2 linked regions of the Mytilus edulis genome follow. The protein of the gene in region 2 interacts with the protein of the main gene of each other region in a pairwise test. Links are inferred from orthologs where the notes say so. Each region holds a gene or a part of one and is shown on either strand. Other genes may lie near its edges.

Region 1 (3,762 bases), on a different chromosome or scaffold from region 2:
TTTGAAGTATACATGTATACTGATATTTCTATATGAAGACTTCAAATGCAAAATATTCTTAGCTTTAAAACGTGTTTGTTTTGAGAAAATTCATTTGAAATGTTGGATAAAAGGGTGTTTAAAATTTTCTGATGTTTTGACAATGGGGGACACATATTCGCCGTTGTTACACATCTATTTAAAACCAAATAACTGCAACTTTAAACAATATGTATCAAATAAATTTCATTATAGATGAAAAGCAGACATTTGAAAAGTGTAAAAAAACTGAAATTAAGGGCAATCACTCAAAAAATTACTAGAGAAATACTTCTTTGAAATCGTTTTTTTCTTCAGGAAATTGGCTGAAAATTGTTGTCCGTTTTTCGGTTCTTTGCGGTAAATGTCGAAATTTGGTCTCATTTTCAAAAATTATCATATTTGTTATAAAAATATAATTTACCGGCATATTTCTTCAATTTCAACCATCCTTTGAAGTTTTACACCTCAAAATCATAACACGGCGAAATTGTGTCCACGGCGAATATGAGCGCCCCACTCTACTCCTAGCCCCACAGGACGCAATTACGACTGGACACAATTACGAGCGATTTCCAATGTTTGCCCTCTGAGATCATATTTATTTATATTTATCAATAAATGTTTTTATAAATAAAAACCCTATTAAAATTCCCTTGTTTCCATGATAATACAATTTATGTGCACTTGGTGAATGTTGATGACGATGACAAAATCATTCTGAAAATATTATAAGAACGGCAATCTGGCCTGCAAGTTATATAAAAAAAAACATAAAGGTAAGTGCATATTGCCTTCGTTTATCAATATATAGAAAGAAAAATATCTCCTGATTCTGTTCATGTGCGTGATGCCTTTTATCTTGCCCAAATAACCCCACAATTGACGTTTTTTAGCATCTTGTGACCCTATTTATGGTCAATAGAAAATATGTTAATTTGATTGAAAAGTCCAGAAAACTCCGAAACAAATGTTGACCTATATAAAAAAAAATCATAGATGGCCATAGATGAATGATAAGTACGGCACCAAAATGGATAAACTTGAATTTAGTGCTCCTGTAAAGGATGAACTTACACAAAAACAAAAAAAATCAGAAATCTTTCCTTTACACATAACCGCCATTTCGTCTGCAACCACTGTTGAAGTTATTGAAGTAAAAAAACAAACTTGTGCATCTTATTTTCCTTTGAAAATGTGTTTGAGATAAAGATTAATGTATGCTTTATCAATCTAGACTATTGTCATTGATTTCTTCTGCAAGATCTGTATCTGTAGTGGTACGTGTAGAATCCTATTAAGGCTTTTATACACGGTGGAGAAGAGCGCCGTTGTTATGGGCGGTGTTCTTGTAGAGCGGTCTTAAATGCCTCTACAGAACCTGCATGCACAACTTTATCTGGTAGTTGGTTCCAGTGAATAGTTGTTTCCACAAAAAATGAATGTTTGTACTGTGGTTTGTTGCTATTTGGTACTTTCAGTCCTCTGGTGTTATTAATAACTTGACGTTCGATGATATTGTCAGTTTCACAGTTTAAGTACGTTTTGGCTTTAATTGTTCGTTTCGGTCTTGCTGGTATGACAAAATTGTCGGCTGGTAGAGCCGGCACCAGACCCTCAACCACCTTGTAAATCAGGATAAGACGGAGGCTGTGTCTTCTTTCCTCTAGCGTCTCCATTTCAAGCTGGCGTCTCATATCAATATACTGCTGTTCGGAATTGCGTCCACATGTGGCTCTCTTGACCTGTAAAACGTGGTCACGCAAATCTTTCTAAAGTATCCTAATGTGAATAAAAATTTATGTGGGATATGATGCAAAATGGAAAGCCTTCATACATCTTAAATTCTATGGTATAAACAATTCAAGAAAAGTAGTCTACATAAAAAAATATTAATCACAAGTTCAAAAATCGTTCGTAATTGTGTCCGGTGACAAAAAAATGAATCATAATTTCCTGTTGATCATGTTGATATGCACAACTACAAAATATGCTCTTTTTTTTTTTTTTTTTTTATTGTATAACGTTTCTCTCTATCTAGATTATAGTTTTTTCAACATAAAAAGCAAAAATTTGGAAAATCATGACAACATTGAATGATTTTACCCACATGCTGACATTGACACAATATTCAGAGGAGCAGACTATTTTTACAATTTTGAGACGACGAATGTCATACGATGCGTCGGACGCAAAGTGATGTCAAAAGCTCACATATAATTATAAAAAAAAAATACTTCTTTTCGTCTGCCATTTCAGTCATTCGTCTCAACTCGGCCGATTCCGTACCCTCATCTAACCTCGTCCGTGATACGTAGGTTTCCATTACTGATCTCCTGTAAAGGAGGGAAATATAGTATATCAAATATTGCAATTTGATAAATCATCATGGCTGCGCCCATGAGAAAAAATAGATCCTTTGAATGACTGAATATTATCCATTTTATCATGTTTATTTTGTTTGTGAGAAAATTATGTAATCATGGATGACATTTATTAATTATGTATATAACCTGGTGGTATGATTGTGTGACATTTTTAATTTTCATTAGACATTTGTTGACATTAGTCATTCGACTTAGTTCATGTCAAGAGCCTTGAGGAAAAATATGTCTCTATAGCATTGTGAATTCAGCTGCAAGTATTTGAATATTCCTTCGAAATTGACAATGTATTGTTTAGTCACCGTATTGACTTATTCGTGAATTAACAATGAGATGTAACAAATATTAGAATCATAACAATGGTATGATCAACCATAACTCTTGACACATGTATATAGTATTTATTCTCCACACTGTGCCTCTGTTTATAATTAACTCGTTTTCATTTTCTACCTGAATATATTGTATAATGGATACACCGATTAAAACTATATCAAATACTAGCAAGTGCTGTTTGTTGTGTGGTGACACTGAGAAGAGACTCCATTGCCTTACAAAACATAAAGCTTCGAATGAAGGATATACACGATCAATCGAAACAACATTAGATATAAAATTGGATTCAAGTCTGCTTGAGTTTATGTTTATTTGTGAAAAATGTGCTAATGCATGTAAACACTTCAATAATTTTAGAGGACGTGCTAAACAAAATTTAGATAATTTTATATCAAACCATACTACTTCTAGAACTAAAAGGATGCCTAAAACACCTCCTTCTGCCATGAAAATCAGTACTGCTGATCAGATTGAAAATTCAGTCGAAAAACTTAGAAATTTGAATTTAGACGAAAAGGAGAAGGGTGCTAGAGTAACAAAAAAATCCAGGCAGCAACTAAATTTTAATAAAGATCTAAATTTAGAACATGCTTACTCCCAACATAATATCTTAAAACATCAGGAAGAGGATCAAGTAGTGTTATTACAGGATCATGAGTATTCCATTCCAAACATCATGGACAAAGCTCTTGAAACCAATGAAAAAATCGCCGAAGATTTTATTAAGGAAGCATGCATCAATTCTTACAACAGTCATGATGGTCTAGATCTTGATAAGCAAATTTCTTCAGTATGTAAACTTGGCAAAAGTGTGTTATTTAAGTCGAGTGCCAAAGACCTAAGCGAAAGGAATTGGTTCATAGACATAGGAAAAGAAATGCTACAACACTGTCCAGAATTTCTTACATTACTTCTTTCAGCAATAGGTAAATTGATTTAATATACAACTGTAACCTGTAGTTTTTAATACTTTTTATGTCGCCGGACTGCATACAGGTCATTTTCCATTAGATACATGTATATA
Region 2 (3,762 bases):
CATAAATACTGAAATTCAGCTCGAAAAAGTTCGTACGCGTTATGACCTGAGATTTGATTCTTCAATGCAGGTCATGACCTGCATTTTCATCATCACAGGTTGACAGGTATGTATATGTTAGTGCGTCGCTTGTAACACTATATGTATTTGGTAGTTGTGTTTGTTTATTTTCAGTCGCCTTGAGCCGATTTCATTCATTTGTTCGTTCGGCCGTTCGTTTTTGAGGGTCGTAATTGGGGTAACTTCATGACGAATAACGGTAAAAATTCTTGCCAAATGACGTTAACGGTAACTTTTGGTATATATATACATGACGATAAAATGTACACTTATTTTAATCAATTTGACGCTAACGGTAGCCGAAATGACTGTTTGACGCCTGACGTTAAAGGGCATTACTAGTTCGTTTATTCGGCCTCGTTCGTGATTGATTTATTCTGATAGATTCATTTATTCGTTCGTTCATTCATACATTCACGATTGATTGATTGGTTGCTTAATTGATTGATTGATTAATTAAAGTTGATTGATTAATTAATTGATTAATTGACTGATTGACGATGATTTACCATGTGGATATCATAAGGAATTCGTTCATTCACTCAACTGTCTATTCCGTTTTATCTTTTTAATCATCGTGTTTCTATTTTACTGTAAACTATTTTATTTCTTCATCTTTTCCGGATTTATACGTGTTTTAATTATTTGACTCTAAACTTAGGAACACCAACAACTGGTTCCCTGTCACAAATCGCAGTTTATTTCGGGAAATAAAACTTAAAAACCAGACACCGCAAAGCATTAGAAAAAAATATATTCCTGATAAAAGTAGAGCTTGGAGTCATACAGTTGAATTAACATTATATATACCGTTTTAAACAGTGATTTATACATTTTTTACCAGCCAGCTTTTACAAATAAAACAGTTTTGTTGATAAAAAAAAAATAAAACTCGGCTCTCTCTAGATCTTCTCAGTACATAATGTGAAAACCTTCGGAAGTTTGTTTATTCTGAAAGCATATTGCATGAATCACCAAAAATAGATTTCACATCAAAAGACAACAATAATATACACACAAAAGCCACGCCTAATTTTCAGATCAAATGGAAAAGTTGTATAATTTTATTCAGGTATATGTAATGTCTGTTATTATTGTTAAAAGTTGCTGTAATTATATATTAAAATACAGACTAGTCTGAATAGAAATTTATTCCAATTTGCGGATTGGTACATGTTCATTTTTATGATTGATTCTTGCTTGTTTAACATCCAGTAACAAATGACAATTCAAAACAAACAATGCCAGCAAGAGTTTATTGCAGACCTGTTGCACAACTCCAAACTAATGTTGATGTCTTTGGAACTACAAAGGAATGTCCAAGGTTGTGAGAATGGTTAAGCACTAACAGACATGTTTTAGTTTACCCAAACACTCTTTTAATGTGCCTGTCTGCATCCAGAAGTCTGTGTTCTAGTGGTTGTCGTTGGCTACTGTGTGACGGTAATTGTTTTTCTTTTCTTCTCCTCATTTGAGTTATTTTTAGTATGGATGTTGAGTTTTCACATTTTTCCATTAGGAGGTATCCTGTAGTTTGCTTTATGGTTCCAAAAAGAAACATATATACATAAGGAATCTGAGAAATGAGAATTTGTAACAGTTGAACTACAATCTTTATTCATTTTTATGCCCCACAACTAAAAGTTCTGGGGCATATTGTTTTACCCCTGTCTGATCGCCTGTACTAATTTCCACCCGTCTGTCCCAATTTAGGTATATAGTTTTCACTTTGCTGGCTTTTTTTACATATTTTTGAATGTGTTCATGTGGTCAGGGTTTTGATTTCTACATGCTATTTTGGGAGATAGTTGAACTTTGTCATCTTTGGAGTATACAATGTACATGTATACTTGAATAAGAGGTCCTCCTACAGTGAAAAATAAACCTATGTGCTCCATTGCTCACTTTTGTGTATTTTAAAATTAATCTTTGGATCTGTGGGGGCATCATTTGTGTTTCTCAGACAATAATATCTCAAAGAAAGTCTCACATTGACTTAGTTATAATACAGTTACTTCAGTGTGGAGTGTGGGGGCATCAGTTTGTGGCCAGTCTCTGATATGACATGAAAATTTTACAACAAAGTCTGTAATGCCTTTAATGGCAGACCAATATAATATATGGTTTTGTTTATGCAATATTTCACATTTTGTCATGTTGAAGTCTTTTATAGCCATTATAGCTAGCTTGCTAGTCTGTACCGGTATTAGTTTTGCTCATTGTCAAAATGTACATGTAGTATAAGTATGGTCAACGCCATGATTGTTCAAATTAGTTTAATTATATTTTACACTGCAATATGTAATCAATTATCATGATTATAGTCATATATTAATTGCCATCATTTTTCACAATGAAAATTTAAATGTGATAAATGCCTTCTATTTATGATTTAATAAAATTAAAAACTTCTTTGAAATTCATAATTGAATGACTGTTTTGTTTGCCTTATAGAAGTGTCAATGAAAAATTTTGTTTGTGTATATGAATAACTGTGTGAGACATGTTCTCATTTAATGCATGTTGATAAATTTCAGTAAAAGAAAACATTTAAAATGCATGAAACAAAAAAGATGTGGTACGATTGCCAATGACACAACTCTCCACAAGAGACCAAATGACACAGAAATTTTAAACAGCTATAGGTCATCATACAGACTTCACCAATGAGCAAAGCCCATACAGCATGTATACAGTCAGCTATAAAAGACCCTGAAATCACAAATTTAAAACAACTCAAAGGAGAAAACTAATGGTCTAATTTATGTACCAAAGAAATGAAGGAAAAAAAATATGTGACACAGCAACAAACGACAACCACCGAATTACAGGGTCTTGACTCAGGACAGACACATACATGTACAAAATGTGGCATGGTTAGAGGGATCCCAACCCTCTCCTAACCTGGGACAGTGTCACAGTGGTGTAACCAAACAACATAATAACGAACTGTTAAAATCAGTTGAAAAAGTCTTACATATAATTCATGAGATGGATACAATAACAAATAGGGAGATAACAGTGCATTTTGGACTTAGATGATGTAAAAACTCTACCATCCTAACATATTATTTATGTCTTTAAGGCTTTATACCATTCTTGATTGAATGATGTTGCTTGCTAAAGTTATAGTGGCAATTATTTCATGCAATTTCATTACACTTCAGTCAATGAATGGCTGTATATATATAACAAATGTTTGTACAACAATACCATTTTACTGTGTCAATAGCATGGTTCAACACAGAGTTTTGCTGCTGCATAAATAGATGAGCAAAAGTTACTTCCCTTTGACCTTTTCTTTAAAATAAATAATAATGTGAACAATGAGTTTTGAATTTGTTTTCTGAATGGGCAACCTCATTCTTGAAAATATTAAGTTTTTATCAGATTAGAAAATTGTGTCATTATTGATTTGTGAAGGTCATTTTCTGTTATGTATTTTACCATTGCTGATTAATGACTTTACATGTACATGTAGCAACATTTCATTTTAAAATTAAAACTTTTTGAGATCATAAGAAATGTATCAGAATTTCATGTTCTGAATAACTATAATTAAAGCAGGCAAAACATTTCAGCACATGAACTCTTGTTTTTAAAAAAACTTTGAAAATTAATTTATTTTTTGACATACAATATGAATATTTATCAAATAATGGATGTATTTAATTATAGAAGAGTTATAAGGTACAATGAAGA

What was found. The genes of interacting proteins can lie anywhere in the genome.
Region 1: the proteins of ligand of Numb protein X 2-like (region 2) and selenocysteine lyase-like interact in binary tests that used the Homo sapiens proteins (3 or more experiments, as listed by UniProt). The link is inferred for Mytilus edulis from reciprocal best matches to the Homo sapiens genes LNX2 and SCLY.

What each region holds. Positions count from the first base shown.
Region 1 is NC_092356.1:8,095,801-8,099,562, forward strand, and holds the start of selenocysteine lyase-like, read right to left. Parts: upstream 2,275-3,762; 5' UTR 2,273-2,274; coding exon 2,256-2,272; intron 1-2,255. Other genes in the region: uncharacterized protein, read left to right, coding at 2,872-3,664. UniProt on the Homo sapiens protein: Catalyzes the decomposition of L-selenocysteine to L-alanine and elemental selenium.
Region 2 is NC_092350.1:40,602,113-40,605,874, reverse strand, and holds the start of ligand of Numb protein X 2-like, read left to right. Parts: upstream 1-994; 5' UTR 995-1,132; intron 1,133-3,762.